5 linked regions of the Canis lupus familiaris genome follow. The protein of the gene in region 1 purifies or fractionates together with the protein of each later gene. This does not show direct contact. Links are inferred from orthologs where the notes say so. Each region holds a gene or a part of one and is shown in the gene's direction. Other genes may lie near its edges. The genes, in order: WDR48, PHLPP2, PPP1R9B, RAD51AP1 and ATAD5.

Region 1 (3,515 bases):
GAGAGAAATAATTAATCGTTGTTGGACCAGAGTATGTACTATATCCCTCAGAGTTGCCCTGCAAGCTTCTAATAATGTAGGATTTCTGATGACATTGGAAGTCAGGGACTTGTGATAAGATATGTCTAATAGACCAGTGAATCCCATGGACATCTCCTTCCTTTGTTGTATTGTTATTTAGCAAATCTTACCGTTTGAGATCTATTGCCACTGCAGTTGTTTTGATTGGTGCCAACATTTCCGGGACAAGCCACATGACATTTCGTCCTTTGTACTTGCTCAGGCAATTGCTTGAGGAACTGGGATAATCTGTTGTTTTGGTTGAGCCAGTGACATCCTTGTGTGTCCCTCACAGGGTTTTCCTGTAACTGAAGTCCTGCTGAACCTAGCTTAAAGTCTAGGGGTCTAGGGCACCTGGGTGGCTCGGCCGGTTAAGCATCTGCCTTCAGCTCAGGTCATGATCTCAGGGTCCTAGGATTGAGCCCTTCATCAAGCTCTCTGCTCAGCAGGAAGCCTACTTCTCTCTCTCCCTCTTCCTGCCGTTTCCCCTGCTTATGCGTGTGCACACACTCTCTCTCTGTCAAATAAATAAAATCTTTATTTAAAAAAAAAAGTCTAGGGGTCTTTAAGCAATCAGGTTACTCCTTGCCCCAGCTTACCTTGCCCTCTTGGCTCCTGTGTATTGGCAGTCACAATTGTGTATAAGTGACCATCCCAGAAACATGTATGTTGGTCATAGCAGCCAGGCCTCAATACACTGTCCCCTCTCATTTCTTTTATTTTTTTTTTAAGATTTTATTTTATTATTTATTCATGAGAGAAACAGAGAGAGAGAGAGGCAGAGACACACGCAGAGGGAGAAGCAGGCTCCATGCAGGAGGCCCGACATGGGACTCGATCCCAGGTTTCCAGGATCAGGCCCTGGGCTGAAGGCAGCGCTAAACCGCTGAGCCACCCGGGCTGCCCTCCCCTCTCATTTCTATTGGCAAAAGCACAACAACCTGATCAGGACTGTAGACTCTGTGCCTCTGAGTCTTGTGTAGCAGAACCATTCAGGGCCTTCCATCCTAGTTCTAAGAATTACCTCCTAATGATAGCGTCTTCACGTTTATCCAGTGGAAGGGTGGAGGTAGTGGGAAATGTTTGATGATTACTCTAGGTCCTACAGGGTAGTAGGCACTCTTTCCTATTAAATAGGCACATCCTTCAACTGTACTACCAAATGCTGCAAAGAAGTTTACCAGCATTGTACTTTAAAAGTAATTATTGTCTACTTCAGGGCCTGCTTTTTAGCAGATTTAGAATACAATTACGATCAGAGATTATTTTGTTCAGTATCAGAGTTGATACAGCTCTGTGTCCCCTTATCTGCTTTCAGCTTATGCTTTTGGGTTTGGGACTTCCTTGCTGCAACTTGCCCAAGCTATGAGGACTTCCAACCCATCACCTTAGCTTTCCTTATCCTAAATTTGTCAGACCTTACTCCTGTAGATTCATGGCCTAGAATCTGAGGGATCAAGGATATGCTAACAGCTTTGCCACCTCAGAGTAGCAGCTCTTCCTGGAAGTGGGAGCCCCTCCTTGCCCTCTCTCCATCAGATTGCAGGGGTCCTTCCACAGACATGTTGGAGGGCTGCTTGTAACTTACTGCTTGTAACTTACTCCAGGCAGTTCTTTGTTGCTTAGGCTCTTGGTTGCCTTGTAAACCAGTTGGAAGAGGGTAATAAAACACTGATGCTCCTGGCAACTTACAGGGGGTGTCTCCTAGTGGTTGTTCGTTTAATTAAACACGTCCAGAGTTCTAAAGGCCCCTTCCAGTCACACGTCATACCAGTAAATCTTAATATTCTTGAAGACCTCATCTATTGAAACGCTTTGCAAATCTCCAAGCCCACAACTAACTTCTCATCTTTGAAGCGCTTTGCCTACTTAATTTCATACATCAGCAGTTACTTCTTCTTGAGGCCATTTTTTCCCCAGAGAAGTAAGTTTTTATTCTCTTCTGCAAGTCACCACGGTAACTGGCAGTGAACACCAGGCATGCTGAGTGTGAATGTGGGGTGGCTGATTTAGCCTCTTTCTCTTGGACTCATAGTGTGCTCGGCCCTAATTTGAGTGCCAGCAACTTCTGTGTAGTTGTGTCAGCTCCTGAGCCTTTAGAAAGTGTCAGAATCACTAATGTTAACTCTAAATGCTGATGGTCCACATTTTATATTAATAGATGTTGAACTTGAGGCTCAGATGGGAAGTATCCAAGGTCACAAATAGGGAGTGGTAAGCCTGGGACTAGATGTTCCTGCTGCCTCCTCTATTTGTAGAATCTCAGGGACCTGGGAGGCCATCAGGAATCCATTGCCATGCGGAGGGGATGAGACACAGGTATGACCCAGGCCTTTAAAAGGCTTGTGGCCTGTTGCAAAGCTTGTTGACCTTAGCATACCAGAATGACCTGGAGAGCCTATCACAATACAAATTGCTGGGGCCCACCAGAATTTCTGCCTCCTTAGGTTGAGAATCTGCATTTTTACAAGTTCCCAGGTGAAGCTGATTCTACATGTGGCCAGGTGGAGAGGACAGCGGCAGTTTTGCTCAGACTTTTCCCCTGCTTGAGCATACACTGTTGCCTTTGGTCATTTCAGCCAAAGTGCATGCTTTTCAGAAGTCTTTATCTGAGGTAGAAATGCAGGTTGTTAGAGGTGTGTGTTTGACAGTGTAGAGTCAGGAGAGGCACCAAGGGCAGAGCACAGCAAAGCAGGAACTTTCTGGCCAGAACTTTCTCTCACTTTAACTTTTCTCTGCTTTCAGTGCCTTTCCGGCAGTTCTGATGGGACAATTCGCCTTTGGTCCCTTGGCCAGCAGAGATGTATAGCAACATACCGAGTCCATGATGAAGGTGTCTGGGCTCTGCAAGTCAATGACGCCTTCACGCACGTGTATTCTGGAGGAAGGGACAGGAAGATTTATTGTACAGACCTTAGAAACCCTGACATTCGGGTACTAATTTGTGAAGAAAAAGCACCAGTTCTCAAGGTATGTCCTATATTTTAGTTTTGTGGTTAAAACTGTTACGTGTACCAGCCAAATCCAGCAAAATCTGTATTAAAACAGGAATCAGTTGTGGAGTTACAGATAAAAGAATATATTTAGATTTTTATTAGTTACCTGTAGAAGAAATTGTGACTTCTTGGGTACCTCAGAGACCAGTAGCTGTCCCACTAGCAAATCCTAGTGCAATTGCCCCACATTGCTCCTGAACTCACCTGGCTTTCCTAACCTGTCTTTAATGAAGGAATATGATAAGTTCAGGTATCTGTAAGCAGACAACACTCAACTTGAGTGAGCAGAGCAAAGCACGAGTGTGTCCACTGCTTCAAGAGGGAGGATGTGGAAGAGTGATTCAAAAGAAGAGAGAACCAAGCCAGCTCATACTCCGAAGGGTTCCTATCTCAGAGTAGTCCCGATTGCTAAATCAACATCTACTGTGTAGGGTGAAAGGGTACTTGAAAAGCCATCCA
Region 2 (3,515 bases), on another chromosome or scaffold:
TCTTCCTGGTGGGTGGTGGATAAGCATATGGTCATGGCCGCTCTGTTGGCCCAGGTGCTTGCCAGTGATTAGACTGTCTAGAATATGCTGCTGTTAGTTTACTCATTTCAGGGAGGTGGCCAAGGACAGACTCAGAAAGAATGATTTAAGTAAGTTTTTCATTTATTTCTTTGTACTGTTTCCCTTAGAATCCTTAGTAGCTTGAGTCTTAGGAAGCTGACAGTGGCACACAACCAGCTGCAGAGCCTGCCCATGCTGGTGGAGCACATCCCTCTGGAAGTGTTGGATATTCAGCATAACTTACTCACCAGGCTGCCAGATACTCTCTTCTCCAAGGCCTTAAAGTAAGTGCCACCAAGTTTATTTAGAGGAGAGAATCATTGGTGCAACCAACTATACTGACTGGTCATTGGAGTGATCTTTGGAACTATATTCACATTGTTTGCCTCTTGGTCCAACTGTGTGTGGGTGGAGACTGACTTATATGAGTAATTTATAGGAAATAAAAGATGACACTGTTGGATGAGGCAATAGTCTTTGACTCAAAAGTTGCAATAACCATCAAATACTTAAGTTTTAATGTTATAGACAGTTTTCGAGCAGGTTGGGAAATTTCAAACAGGCTTTCATCTCCAAAAATGAATACATTCATGGCCTCGTAAAAAATAATTACAGCATTCTGATAAAGCTTTCTTGGGCGATTTTTAGCTTTTGCATTTGGGGAAAGAGGACAGACGTATCACTAAAGTTAATTTATTTTTGCTTCTTGCTTTGTTTACCAAGCTATCATCAAGTTACATTCTTAATGTGCAGTGTTTTTTTACTACCTGGTTTGAAAACTGAGCATTTAAAGGAAACATTGTTCCAAAGGTGTTTGTGTTCTCATTGTGAATTAACCAATAGATAGTGTGTCTTCCTATTACTTCCTATAACCAGATTTATCTCATGCATATGTCACCATTAAGTGAAAACTAGTTTTAATTATAGTCTTCTGCAATAGGGAGAAGGTAATATTATCTTCAGTTTAAAAATGGAGAAAACAGAGATAAGCAGTAGTAATTTAACATAAGACTACAGGATATATACAAAAAGCATGTAGCTCACAGGTGTCTGGCATGTTCTTTGGCAGCTTATGTATCTCTTAATGTATAATATACTTGGTTGGATTTTCCTAAAAGTAGAATCTTTGGAAATTTTAGAAAATATTTGAGGGAAATTTTCTTTTTGGAAAGTTTATACGGGATCTTAATGCAGTAACATTTAACTTGGTAACTAACAAGTATTTGTTAGTAATGTATAACACTGCCTTTAGGCCCCCCCCCCTTTTTAATTTTGAGAGGGGGGTTAGGGGCAGAGGGAGAGAATCTTAAGCAGGCTCCATGCCCAGCATGGACTTTATCTCACAACCCTGAGATACTGACCTGAGCTGAAATGAAGAATTAGATGCTTAATTATCTGAACCACCCAGACACTCTCTTTTTACTTTTCTTTCTTTCATTTTTTTTTTTTTTTACATACTATTTTAAGGAATCTCCACACCCAATGTGAGGATTGAACCCACAACCCCAATATCAAGACTGAGTCACCCAGGCATCCTTTTGTGTGTGTGTGTGTGTGTGTGTTTTAAGTTTTTATTTTTAAGCAATTTCTATACCTAACATGGGGCTTGAACCCACAGCCCCAGAATCAAGAGTCACACACACCACAGACTGAACCAGCCAGGTGTAGTTCTTTATTTTTCACTGCATTTATTTCTAATGATAGCCTGAATAAAATTAGTTTATAACCTTATAATTTTTAGTAAGGAAGCTACTTAGTAGCTGTAGCAAACTATCAATGAAACTAATCTAATACTAACTGCCCAGAACACTTTTGGGACACACACACACACACACACACACACACACGTAAATAGTACCCTCAACAGCTAAAAAGCTAATGAGGGATGTGAATCACATAATATTAAGAAGACTTAAGAGCACACAAGGTTAATAATAATAGCTATCTTTTATTGAGCATATTCACATATACCAAACACCATGCTATGCAAAATTTTTAAATCATACCATATTTTACCTGTTAGATTGGCAGAGATTAAAATGAAGTATTAAGTATGATACTTAGCTTTGACAGAAGATTGAGCAAACATTCTTATATTATGCTTGTGGAAGGTATAACTTGGAATAGCCTTTCTGGGATTCAGTTTGATAATATTTATATATACAAATCTTAAAGATAAATGTACTTTTGACCCTACAAATTCTGCATCTGGGAATATAACCTAAAGGAATAATTAGATAAGGACACAAAGTTGTTCATCACAATGTCTGTAATAGTAAATAGTTGCCAACAGCCTATATGCTATTGTCTGCAGACTATAAGTGGATTGGCTAAATAAATATGATCCTGCTAAAGTTAGACAAAAACTTTTCTGAAAGGTGCCTTCACAAGTGAGATATTAGTGAACATGACATTCAACAATTCTGTGCACAGTAGACAGTAAAAGAGGACACTAGCTTAGAATCAGACCACTGCAAAAGCCTGGGAACACAAACAAGCCTGAATTCTTTCCTCTCTGCTTCAATTGCATGAGTTGAATAAAGGAACTTTGGTTGGGTGGATAGAATCAATTAGAGAAAAAATCCTGGAGGAAATTACTTGTCATAAGTTTGGGAGTATGAAATGGCAGTGTCCTGTACTGAGATAGTATGATGGTAACAACCGTAAAGGAAATGGTGATTTGTGTATGTGTTCTGTCAGTCTCAGATACTTGAATGCATCTGCAAACAGTCTGGAATCTTTGCCATCTGCTAGTGCTGGAGAGGAGAGTCTGAGTGCTCTGCAGCTGCTCTATCTGACCAACAACCTTCTGACAGACCAGTGTGTGCCCGTTCTGGTGGGGCACCCGCACCTGCGAATCTTGCATCTTGCGAACAACCAGCTACAGACCTTTCCTGCAAGGTAAGCAAATGCAGACACTGGTCATTTCGGATACACAGCATGAAATCTGCATTTGCCAGTCTCCATTACAGTTCTCTTTCTGGATCCTCTTGCTTTATGTTGAGCAGCTTGGTGGTGCTATGATTCCACTAGTTGAATGAAGAAAATCTATACCCAGTTGATTATCAGTAACCAGAGAAATGGTAGCTAAAATGCATTTAATTCTTTGTTACAATGATTTAATAATAGTCTGAGAATTTTCAGCCTAGAAAACTACAAGCTTAAGAAATGCATTTTGAAAACAATTTTTTCTTTTCCCTTGTCAACACTGTTTTATGATATACTGTTGAGTCCATTAATTTATTCATTATATATATGTTTTTGAACACCTACTGTATGTCAAGTACTGGAAAAACAGTGGTGGTTAGGTTAGCAGTCTCTGTCCTCAAATAAGGTACAGTCAAATTGGGGAAATAGACAAGTCACAGGCAATTACAGTGCAGTGTAATAAATGCAGAATGTTAAAGATACAAAGGTAGCTAGCTGCACTGCACAGGGCCTAGGGCTGGGGTTGG
Region 3 (4,181 bases), on another chromosome or scaffold:
GGCCCCAGGCCTCCAGAATTCCTCCTCCCTGTTTGAGAGGCGAGTGCCCCCATAGGGGTGGAAGACAAGGATTCCACCCCTTCCCTGGCAGCCTGGGTGCAGAGTGGGCTGGCGACTGGACAACCCATTACAGGGTTCCAAAGGGCAAAGGCCAGCTTCGGGCCGCCACCTGGGGGGGGTATGAGGACCATTTCCTTTCTCCGTTCTCCTTCCTCCTCCACCACAAGGCCAGCAACACTGAGCGGAGCTTTCACACCTTAGAAGGTTGCAAAAGGTTCTCCACAAGAAATTGTTAAAATGCAGGTTCCTGGGCCGGCCTCTGAGATTCTGCTTCACAAAGTTTGGAGGAGGGCCCAGAAATCTGAATTTAAAAAATGTTTAAAGTGCCCAGCGATTTTGATGCCGATGGTCTTGAACCACACTAGAGAACTACAAGGACCATGAAGGAAATACTCCTGTGCCCCGCCCCCACGACTCTCCCTTCACGTTTGGGGTGAAGAGCCCCCCCCCCCCCCCGTGAGACCACTGCGGCTGGACCGCTTCCCCCAGTATTTGGTGGGGGCCTACTTTGGTGGGTCTGGGTAAGCCGCAGTCAGAGGTTGGGATGGAAGGGCTGAAGAGGACGGGCCGGGAGCGGGGGTCAGCGTCAGGCTGTCGGAGCGGGAGGGGCAGGGGAGGGGATACGGTCGGGAGGAGGGGAAGGGGAGGGCTCACAGACTCCAGCCCCGGAAATCCGATCCCTTTAGGACCCAGAGGTGCCAGTCCCCCAGCGGCGGCGGCGAGAAGGGCAGCCGCTCGGTGTCGGGCTGCCGCCGCTCGGGCAGAGCCAGAGAAAGACCGAGGCTCGGGGCGCGGGGGGGAGGGAGGGAGGGAGGGTGGCGCGGCGGCGGCGGAGCGGCCGGGGCCGGCCGAGCAGCCATGGGCGCCGGGGTGCCGGGCCCCCCGAGAGCCAAGGCCCCCGGCCGGGGTGGGGGACTCCCGGGCTGCCAGCCCCGCTGACACCGCCTCGGACGATGTGAGCCGGCGCCTCCGCCGCTGCTTCGCGGGCAGGGCGCGCGGTCCCACCGGCCCCGGCCGCCGCTTGTCGCGTTTGGGTGGGGGCGACCGCAGCAGGCCGCTCGGGCTCTGAACGAGGGGCCGGTGGCTGTGGCAGCTGGATTGGGGGAGGCGACCCACACAGGGCGCTCGGAGATTTTTTTCCCCTTTTTTTTTTTTTTAAGCGGGGTTAACTGTTTTTGGCAGCCTGGTTGGGGGGAGCCTACAAAAGGCCTTCCGGGGTTTCTTTTCTCGGGGGGAGGGGGCGGTGGTCCCGACTTGGCCAGCCGCCTGTCGGAGGGGGGGAGCGGGAAGCGAGGGGATGCGCCCCCGCCTCCCCCCACCATGATGAAGACGGAGCCGCGGGGGCCCGGGGGTCCCCTCCGGAGCGCCTCCCCGCACCGCAGCGCCTACGAGGCGGGCATCCAGGCGCTGAAGCCGCCCGACGCGCCCGGGCCCGACGAGGCGCCCAAGGCGGCCCACCACAAGAAATATGGCTCCAACGTCCACCGCATCAAAAGTATGTTCCTGCAGATGGGCACGACGGCGGGGCCGCCGGGCGAGGCGGGCGGCGGCGCGGGCCCCACCGAGGCCCCGCGGGCGCCCGAGCGCGGCGTGCGCCTGTCGCTGCCGCGGGCCAGCAGCCTCAACGAGAACGTGGACCACAGCGCCCTGCTCAAGCTGGGCACCAGCGTGTCGGAGCGCGTGAGCCGCTTCGACTCCAAGCCCGCGCCCTCGGCGCAGCCCGCGCCGCCGCCGCACCCGCCGTCCCGGCTGCAGGAGACGCGGAAGCTGTTCGAGCGGAGCGCCCCGGCGGCCTCGGGCGGCGACAAGGAGGCCGCGGCGCGGCGGCTGCTGAGGCAGGAGCGCGCCGGCCTGCAGGACCGGAAGCTGGACGTCGTGGTGCGCTTCAACGGCAGCACCGAGGCGCTGGACAAGCTGGACGCCGACGCCGTGTCGCCGACGGTCAGCCAGCTCAGCGCCGTCTTCGAGAAGGCCGACTCGAGGACCGGCCTGCACCGCGGCCCGGCGCTGCCCAGGGCCGCGGCCGCCGGGGCCCCGCACGCCGGCTCGAAGCTGGTCAGCAGGCGGTCCCGCGTGTTCCAGCCGCCGCCGCCGCCGCCGCCCGCCCCGTCGGGGGATGCGCCGGCCGACAAGGAGCGCGGCCCCGGCCCCGGCCCCGGCCCCGGCCCCGGCCCCGGCCCCGGCGGGCAGCAGCCTCCGCAGCACCGGGTGGCCCCTGCCCGGCCGCCCCCCAAGCCCCGGGAGGTGCGCAAGATCAAGCCGGTGGAGGTGGAGGAGAGCGGGGAGTCGGAGGCCGAGGCGGCGCCCGGGGAGGTGATTCAGGCGGAGGTGACGGTCCACGCGGCCCTAGAGAATGGCAGCGCCTTGGCAACCACTGCCAGCCCCGCGCCCGAGGAGCCGCAGAAGGCCCAGGCGGGCCCCGAGGAGGCCGCGGCCACCGTGGCGGCGCCCGAAAGAGCGCTGGGCGACGGCCGGGCCCCGGACGTGGCCCCTGAGGAGGCGGATGAGTCCAAGAAGGAGGACTTCTCGGAGGCGGACTTGGTGGACGTGAGCGCCTACAGCGGGCTGGGGGAGGACTCCGGGGGCAGCGCCCTGGAGGAGGACGACGAGGAGGACGAGGAGGACGGCGAGGCCCCCTATGAGCCCGAGTCGGGGTGCGTGGAGATCCCGGGGCTCTCGGAAGAAGAGGACCCGGCCCCGAGCCGGAAGATCCATTTCAGCACGGCGCCCATCCAAGTGAGTGAGCCCCCTCCCCGCCCCCGCCCCCGCGCCGCCCCTGCCACGTGCACGCCTCGCCCCCGCCTCGCCAGCCCGCCAGCCAGCCGGGTTTGGCAGGCTGAGTCAGCCCCTGCCACCCAGCCCCCTTCCCAGAAGTTACCACCCGGAGGGGGGCGTGGGGGACTTCCAGCTGTTTGTCAGAGGGCGGCCTGCCCCGACCTGCCCTCAGGTTCCTCTGCCTGCAGCCTCGCCCTGGCTGCCCTGGCTGCCCTGGCCGCCCTGGCTCGGCCGCACCTGCATCCTGGGACACCTGCTTCCCCTTCCTCTCCCAGGCACTCTTCCTCCCAGAGGCCGCCCGAGGCTCTTGGGGGCTTGGGTGGTGGGAAGTGTGTGTCTGTGTGTGTGTGTCCTCAGGAGACCCTCCCCACTTTGCTCCTGACCCCACTGGGCGGGAGAGGACCAAGAGCTTAGAAACACCCCCCTGCACTCCCCCTAGAGAGGAGGGAGAAGCCAAGAACTTCCTAAAAGAAGGTGAGGTGTAGGGGACCACAGTCCTCCTGCATCCTGTCTGTAGCCCCCACCCCAAAGTTTGCAGAAGTGAAAGAGGGAAGCAGGTCTTTGAGGGTGAGCTAGGCTGGGGCCATGTGACTCAGGGTGGGGGGAAAGGCCTAGTCTGGCGCTGGGGCCCTGTTCCCTGGGGTCTGTGCTGGGCCAGCTGGGGAGGTGGAGGTGTTGGGCAGGGAGCAGGTGCCTGGCCTGGCCCGTGAGGGGGCTGGGCCTTGGGCGGGACACCGAAGAGAGGGGGTGGGAGCTGGGAAAGCCCCCAGGGCCCTGGCAGCTGCCCACATGTCTTTGCTCTTGGCTGCTGGGTAGGGCACACTCCCATGGCCTTGGCAAACCCCAAGCCCTCTTGCCACATTCTCCGGGTGCCCTGAAAGAGGGATGGGAGCTGCCCTTCAGCACCCCCATCCCTGCCACCACGCTTGTGATTGGTTTGTGGCTGGTGCCAGTGCCCTGAGATCCTCAGAACAGTGCCAACAGGAGTGGTGGGGACATCCCCGGGAAGAATTAAGAGCCCTTGGTCACCTCCTCCCTTCCTGCCACTCCAGTCTTGGCTGGCACATGCAGCCTAGCTGGCCCTATTCTCAGGCTCAGCTGTGCCCAGCACTAGATCCACTGCAGGGGGCTGTCCAGGGCCTGGACCCTGTCTTTACCCCTCCAGAGCCAAGCCCTCATCTCTTTGCTCAAAGTTTCTGTAACTGGTCCTGGACTCTGAGGCTGCCCATGTTTCCTCCCAGCCCTCCTAGAATATCAGTGGCCCCTCTCCCACCTCTCACCCCAGCTGAGGCCTGAAAGGTGCTACTCCCAGGCCAGCCCTCCCCCTTCTGAGGCTTCGACCTTAC
Region 4 (4,116 bases), on another chromosome or scaffold:
ACCAGCTTCCTCACTGGACTCCATCTCTATGCTTTTCATCATCAAATCAGTTTTCACAGTATTCTCTATGCTGAAGTTACAGTAATCTTTCCAAAGAGCTTATTTGATTATATTGCTCATCTGCTTAAAGCCTTTTGATCATATTCCATTGCTCTCGGGACAAAATTCAAACCCCTTTACCCAGTGTACAATGCTTCTGTCTGTATTTCGAGGCCTCCCCCCCAACACCTACACCCCTCAACACCCCAACACACAAACCATTTTCCAGGCAAAAACCTTTCTTTCCACTTCCCACCTTTTTGAATGCTTTTTCTTTGCCTAGAGCAGCACTCTTACTGCTTTTCTTTCCTTGGATAACAACCACTCAGGTTCTTCAGGTCTCCGCATAGATGGGCACCGGGGAGTCTTTTAATTTGTGGGATTGTCATAAGGATTAATAGAATGACAGATATGAAACGTCTGACAAAAAAAGATGATCAACAGATTGAAAACTAGTAATAATAAAAGAAGTTCTCTAAGAACTTAACAAAAAAAAAATCGCAGATTGCTGATTGAGTACACATGATGAAGACAAAAGCAGTAAAGGAACACCGTAAAAGGGGACTGAAACTTACGGATAAATAGGTTTATGATCTAATCTTGTTTAGATTCAATATTTCCGATCCACAAAAACCATTAGCTCCGGTTTCAAACGGTTCAAGATTTAAATTTATGGTCTGAAACTTTAGTTCCCTCTCCCCACTTTTTTTTTTTTTTTTTTTTTTTTTAAGCAGGGGTGAAATTAGGAAAGGTTTCCCAGGCAAACTGGGGACGGGAGGAGGAGAGAGCTGGACAGAACTCCTGCGGCCAACAGGGTGCGGGTTCTGCGTGCAGGAAGGGGAGGGCAGGCTGCCAGCGCGAGAAACTCCGGCCGAGGGGGAACACCCGCTCCACTAGGCGGGTTCGGTCTGAACGGGCTTCCTCGCTTTGGGTTCTGGGCTCACCTTCCGGTTCCGAAGCCCCGCGCGGGCTGCACACTCGGAGCTGTCAAGGAGCTGCGGCGCAGGGAACATCAGCTGACTTACTCGCCTATCTGTGGGCTGTAAAAACTGCTTCAGCAGATTCGCCCGTACCTTTTCCTCTTTCCCGGCACTCTGTAGAAAATTCCTCGGCCTCAGTGCCCCCTTTTTCCATAACGCCCCAATGTAATCATGTAAAAAATGTAAAAAAGGTGTATTTCTACTGTTATTATGAATCTCAGAGAAGGCGTAAAAAAAAAAAAAATTCACTGTCGTGGCGAAAGTTGCAGCGGCAAAGCAGAGACTCGGCTTTGGGAGAACGGATGCGGAAGGGCAGTGCCTTGGGCACGGCGTCCTCTCAGAGCGCATGCGCAGCGGCAAGGATGGCCGGTAATCATTGGACGGCTGGGGGCTGGGGGCGGAGAGCGTCTGGGTCTGGTTTTGCGCGGGAATTGAAACCGCCACTCCTGCCAACAGGAACTTGAAAGCTGCGAGTTTTCCGTCGCGGAGGCGACCATGGTGCGTCCTGTGAGGTGAGTAGTTCATGACAGCAGCGAGGACCGGGGAGAAAAGGCAGGAGGAAGGTGTAGGGAGCTTCGTCTGCACACGATTGGGTGGAAAGGGCCGGATAGAGCCGAGGGTAGCGCGGGTGGGATGGGGTGGACGGTTTCTGGGAAGCTCTCGGGTCTCCACCGAGAGTCGCCGAATCCGCAGAAGCATCCGGCGTACCAGCCTTTCCTTCTCTTTGCCTCCCTTCACAGCTATTGCGGATTCTTTGACCCGCTCCATTGAAATAAGCCCTGGTCGTGTTAGCACTCGAATGGCGCTTTACATTTCGCCGAGCGCCTACTTAGGTGTCATTTCAAATTTTCTTTTCTTTCTTTTCTTTTTTTTTTTTTTTTTTTTTAGCAGTTTAGGTATCCCTATTTTTGATCTGTTTAGAGTACTAGGCGTAAAGGCCAAGCTAGCCGAGTCGCACAGCTACTGAGTGGCAGGATAACACACCCAAATCCTCGGCTCCGGATCCCCCTGCTTTCCGTTATACCATTTGAAACCATTCTTGTGCTTAACCACGGTGGAGTGCTATGGAGGCCTAGAGTCAGCCATTCACTGGGAAAGTTGCTCGGTGTATATACTTCTATACTGTGCTGCTGGTGACTGGTTACATCCTAGTCAAGGGTGCGGTGAGGGGCCGCAAAGAAATACTGCAAAGTGATAGAGAGTGAGCAGAAGGAGAGCCTTACTTTAAAAAGTGTCGTTAGGGTGTGCCTCTCTGCAAAGGTAAGACGTGATCTGAGACATGAATCCTGAGAAGGAGCTTGCCAGGGAAAATCTGGCTCTGAGCTTGACTGTTGGAGAAACTGGAAGAAGGCCACTGAAGCTGTAGCATTAGCAAGCAGTGGGAGGAATTGTAGCGGATTAGGGCACATAGGCAGGGGCCAGAGTAGGGAGGACCTTGTAGGCTTTAGGAGGAGGAAAGCTGGACAGAGCTCCTGCCGAGTTTGGATTTTATCCTACGGACAATGGGAAGTCAACGGAGAGTTTTAAGTAGAGCAGACAGCTCTAATTTTGGTTTTATAAAATTCACTGGCTCCTGGTGGAGAAAGAATGGAAGATGGGGTAACAAGAATGGGAACAGGGAAACCGCCTTATCATTTGGGTAGTGGGTTGGAATAGAGTGTTACCAGTGGACATGGAATGGGGCAGATGAATTTGGGATGTATTTTGGAGATACTGCTGACAGACCTTGCTGATGAAGTGAATGTGGAGGTAAGGGAGAAAAAGAATCAAGGATGACTTCACAGTATTTTTAGCCTGAGCTACTTGAATGGATGATCTTTTTATTTTTTTTATTTATGATAGTCACACACAGAGAGAGAGAGAGGCAGAGACACAGGCAGAGGGAGAAGCAGACTCCATGCACCGGGAGCCCGACGTGGGATTCGATCCCAGGTCTCCAGGATCGCGCCCTGGGCCAAAGGCAGGCGCTAAACCGCTGCGCCACCCAGGGATCCCAATGGATGATCTTTGTACTAACCGAGGTGGGGAAGACTAGGAAAGGAAATAGATTCAGGAGATGTGGGGGATCAGAAGTCCCATTTTGAGCACATGAAGTCTGAAATTTATTTTAAACACCCAAGTAGCAAAGACATAATCCCCTTGTCTGCAATAGCAGTTGTCAAAATACTGCAGACCCTTAGGGTTCCTGAAACCCTCTAACCAAGGGAAAAAAAAAAAAAAAAAAAAGAGCCAGTTTCACTTAAGAATGTGATGTTGATGAAGCAGTAAGAAATCTCATATTCATTATAGGTCAACTGTTGAGCATACTTCTTTTTAAAGTTTTTATTATATTTTACTATTATTCAGTTTCAGTTTTTAAAGGGGTTTTCATATTTTATTCAGCTTTCAAATTCTTTAAAGAGTAGGAGAGTAACAAGAGTACTCTTCATTTGAATATTCCATATGAGGAAATGAAATGTAAAACATAAACTACTTCTACAGTGGTTGTCTTCAGAAAAAGCACTTGTGAGATTGAGTTGGGAACTGACCTCTTTTTTCATAGAACACCATTCTGCTTGAAAGAACAACTGGCCTACTAGGTTATTCACACTTGGGTACTTGGCAGAAGGTAGAAAAGAAAACCACATTTAGCGCCTAGAGGAAGGGAGAAGAAAGTGAGTTTATTTTCTCCAGTTTAAATATCACTTTTTTTTTTTTTAAGATTTTATTTATTTATTTGAGAGAGAGAGAGAGGACGAGCACGGGGAGAGGCAGAGAGGGGAGGGGAGGGGAGAAGCAGGCTCCCTGCCCTGGGGCTCAATCCCAAGACCCTGGAATCATGACCTGAGCCAGACACTTAATGGCCTGAGCCACCCAGGCACGCCAAATATCACTTTCTTCTAATGGCTCTCTAAAGTAATAGAAAGATTTGTTTCAGATGGTAGGTACAAAGTCATTCATCATTGTTTCAGTGTCTATACCATAAAGAACTTTGGTATTGTGGGGAGAGTAAAAATGAGAGGAAAATAGCTTTCAGTTTGTTCAAGTTTATAATCTTTAATAGGACGACAGAATGCACATACAAAACAAGAGAATACATAAACAGGAATTTATAAAT
Region 5 (3,246 bases), on another chromosome or scaffold:
AGTTTTTAGACTCAGAACTATTTTGATGAATTAAGGGAGCATACGTCAATAAAATTATGAGAGGGTAGCAACTCATTACTTTTAAGATAGAATAAGGATGCCACTATATTCATATAGGTAGGAAAACATTCAGACTATGTTCTAACACTTCTTCACTCAAAATTGTTTTTCAGCACAAAATCAGAACAAAGGAAGAATGTCATCAGTTCATCCAGCTTCTTACAGAATTCCGAATGCAGAATGTAGATTTCTTACATAGTAATCTTGAGTTCATTCTACCACTACCTGTTAATATCATTCCAGAAACAGAAAACTTCTATGGTTCATCAGTAAGTGTGGACAGCAGTACAGCAACAAAACATATGAAATGTCTTGCTAGGAAACATTCTGAAGGAGAGAAGCCATTGAAAAAGCCACAAAAAAAGAAACAAAAGAAAAAGATGGAAATTCTAGATGATAGCGACTTGTTTGACACCGAATTGGATTTCTCTAATGAATTTCTTAGCCGTTCTCCTGCATCTTCCTCAAATTCAGAAGACAGCAAAGCCAGAGACAAAGAAAGCAATCCAGATGTAAAGAAACTGAACAAATGTTTAGAGTCTAACACGGAATCTATTCCTTGTCCTAAAACACCAGCAGAAAAAAAATGTTCTGCCCTTGTTTCTCACTGTTTAAATTCTCTCACTGAGTTCATGGATAACATGTCCTTCTTAGATGCTCTTTTAGTTGATGTAAGAGAACAAAAGGAATTTGGTAAAAATGACTTTAGTTGGACAAATGTTAAAAGCGGACTTTGTGATGAATTTAGTCTCGAGACTAGTGATGGATGGACTTCTCAGAGCTCTGGAGAATTAAAGGCAGCTATAGAAGCACTCAGCTTTACTAAATGTTCATCTACTATTTCGAAAGCACTGGAAACCTCCTTGAATTCTTGCAAGAAATCAGGAAGAGATCCAACTAAAGAGCTTACTCTCTCCATTTCACAAAAGCGCAACAATGTATACTTTAGTCAGTCAGCAGCTAATTTAGAGTAAGTCATCCTTTAACTTGTTTTTTCAATAACAGATGATAAAGAGGAAATTATTCATTTCTTTTTACTAATTTTGAAATGCTGGGCTTTATTGATCCCAGGTTAAACACTTAATATTGGGGCGCCTGGGTGGCTCAGCGGTTGAGTGTATGCCTTTGGCTCAGGGCGTGATCCCAGGATTCCGGGATCAAGTCCCACATTAGGCTCCTATGGAGCCTGCTTCATCCTCTGCCTGTGTCTCTGCCTCTCTCTGTGTCTTGTGAATAAATAAATAAAATCTAAAAGAAACAAACACTTAATAATGTAGCTTCTAATAAGACAGGGAGACCAGCCTGATGGTTAGGAAGAAAAACGAGATATTAGAAGACTCTTGAATAACAGGGAATGGGGTTTGGATATGCTTGGGGCAGATGGTGGGGTAGCCATTAAAGATTCTTTTGGTATGGGAGTGACTGTGTTGAAAATGATATAGGAAAAAAAAAATACGGGAAGTTAACCTGGAATCTGGTTAATCTAGTCTTAAGAAAGACTAGAAACTGGTTATATTTGGGATTGCTGCATTTTTCTTGGGCATTAAAAATAAAAAGTAATGCATTACTTTTAATTTACAGCAGTGCCTGGAAGAGGATAGCAGTCATTAAAAGTGTATTTTCTAGCAGATCTCTTCTAAACCTGGGTAACAGACAAGCTAGTATAACTGAGTACTTGCCAACTCTTCGGAACATTTGTAGGACTGAGAAGCTAAAAGAACAAGGAAAAAATAAAAGAAGGTAAAGGCGCTATATAAATAACATTATATATAGCTATTTGAAGATTAATAAATATTCTCATCTGATTCTTAAAAATTGCATTTTTCCTTGTAATTTTTGACAGGTTCCTGCACTATCTTGAAGGGATTCATCTTAACATTTCGAAAGAGACTGTGAACACTCTGGCAGCTGGCTTCCCTTAACATCTACATTACCAATGCCTTGTACAGATTATTATGTGTTCCTCAAGATACATTTTTATATTGATCTTCATGGAAGAATTTATTTCTCTTAATGTACATTTAAAAAAGGACTATTTGTATATTATTAGTGTGCAAATATTTAAAGTGAAAAAATTTGAGTCACAAATTGTATTTATGATTGTGGTGATTTTTTTTTTTTTTTCTGAAACTTTTTGTATTGGTTTAGTGTTGTTGTATTTTTGTGTGAGTGAGCTGTTCTGGAAGGTAGAATTCACTAAATATTTCTAAAGGTGTTGCACTGTTAATCTGTAATTTTTCTTTCCTGTTTATTTTAACCCACCTCTCTCCAGCCTGTCAGTACTCTGTCAAGTTGTATATATGAATCATCTAGGAGATAATCTAGTTTACACAATACAAAATTATGTAATACATAAAAACTTCCTAGGGAAGAAATTATGCATCATTTTTCAAAAAGTACCATCTTCCCAATAAGTTTATTTTTAGTGTATTCCTCCAGCATATTTTACCATTGAATCATTGAATATTGACAAAGTGAAAACAAGATTATGAATTGTCATTTTCATAAATCCTTTTTAGCAACCATACATGTGATATCTTGTATATTTTGCCAACTCACATCATTTGCTTGTACATTTTTTGTATTTTTATATCAGTATTTTATTTCATAAAGATATTAATGGTGTTAATATATCTATTTTGGACAAACTGCTTATTCATTAAAATTGTAACAAAGGATTTTACTATATGAACTTTCTACATCATAGCCATTTCCACTTCAGGTTGGTTTTGGAGAAAGTGTGTTTTTTTAATTACAAGATCTTTAAATCCCACATTTTACTTCAAATCATTTTTGCTATTGCATAATCAGGTATATCTGAAAATAGTTTCCTATTTTAAGTGTTTATATTTATTAGCCTAGAATTCAGTTACATTATCTGGTGAATTATATATTTACCTCAAAGGTAAGGATCCTAATTTTGTACAGATGGAAAATACTGATGTGTATACCTGTTTACAAATGTGTATGAAAGATATGTTTTACCTCTTATTTGTTCAGTCTACTTTTTCATTGATAGTATGTTGATTTAATTAAAGGTTACAGGTTTTGCTCTTGTACAAAAGAAGAGATCTGAAGTTTTGTGGGTTTTTAAGTATATGAATTTTTTTTCTGTTGCATACTAGCATTCACTATTTGTAGAGGACTTACCTGTTAATTTGGTCTTACTAGAAAATTCTGGTAATT

The links.
Region 2: the proteins of WDR48 (region 1) and PHLPP2 purify together in Homo sapiens (affinity purification with mass spectrometry; 5 studies listed by BioGRID and IntAct, with this or other methods). This does not show direct contact. The link is inferred for Canis lupus familiaris from reciprocal best matches to the Homo sapiens genes WDR48 and PHLPP2.
Region 3: the proteins of WDR48 (region 1) and PPP1R9B purify together in Homo sapiens (affinity purification with mass spectrometry; 3 studies listed by BioGRID and IntAct, with this or other methods). This does not show direct contact. The link is inferred for Canis lupus familiaris from reciprocal best matches to the Homo sapiens genes WDR48 and PPP1R9B.
Region 4: the proteins of WDR48 (region 1) and RAD51AP1 purify together in Homo sapiens (affinity purification with mass spectrometry; 5 studies listed by BioGRID and IntAct, counting the BioPlex papers as one, with this or other methods). This does not show direct contact. The link is inferred for Canis lupus familiaris from reciprocal best matches to the Homo sapiens genes WDR48 and RAD51AP1.
Region 5: the proteins of WDR48 (region 1) and ATAD5 purify together in Homo sapiens (affinity purification with western blotting; 3 studies listed by BioGRID). This does not show direct contact. The link is inferred for Canis lupus familiaris from reciprocal best matches to the Homo sapiens genes WDR48 and ATAD5.

The regions. Positions count from the first base shown.
Region 1 is NC_049244.1:8,978,507-8,982,021, forward strand, and holds part of WDR48 (WD repeat-containing protein 48), read left to right. Parts: intron 1-2,805; coding exon 2,806-3,030; intron 3,031-3,515. UniProt on the Homo sapiens protein: Regulator of deubiquitinating complexes, which acts as a strong activator of USP1, USP12 and USP46. Enhances the USP1-mediated deubiquitination of FANCD2; USP1 being almost inactive by itself.
Region 2 is NC_049226.1:78,024,973-78,028,487, reverse strand, and holds part of PHLPP2 (PH domain leucine-rich repeat-containing protein phosphatase 2), read left to right. Parts: intron 1-188; coding exon 189-344; intron 345-2,760; coding exon 2,761-2,961; intron 2,962-3,515. UniProt on the Homo sapiens protein: Protein phosphatase involved in regulation of Akt and PKC signaling.
Region 3 is NC_049230.1:26,099,895-26,104,075, reverse strand, and holds the start of PPP1R9B (neurabin-2), read left to right. Parts: upstream 1-1,380; coding exon 1,381-2,796; intron 2,797-4,181. UniProt on the Homo sapiens protein: Seems to act as a scaffold protein in multiple signaling pathways. Modulates excitatory synaptic transmission and dendritic spine morphology. Binds to actin filaments (F-actin) and shows cross-linking activity. Binds along the sides of the F-actin.
Region 4 is NC_049248.1:5,749,459-5,753,574, forward strand, and holds the start of RAD51AP1 (RAD51-associated protein 1), read left to right. Parts: upstream 1-1,313; 5' UTR 1,314-1,388; intron 1,389-1,394; exon of another isoform or gene 1,395-1,475; 5' UTR 1,476-1,514; coding exon 1,515-1,531; intron 1,532-4,116. UniProt on the Homo sapiens protein: Structure-specific DNA-binding protein involved in DNA repair by promoting RAD51-mediated homologous recombination.
Region 5 is NC_049230.1:40,841,467-40,844,712, reverse strand, and holds the end of ATAD5 (ATPase family AAA domain-containing protein 5), read left to right. Parts: intron 1-173; coding exon 174-1,030; intron 1,031-1,641; coding exon 1,642-1,800; intron 1,801-1,903; coding exon 1,904-1,982; 3' UTR 1,983-2,738; downstream 2,739-3,246. UniProt on the Homo sapiens protein: Has an important role in DNA replication and in maintaining genome integrity during replication stress.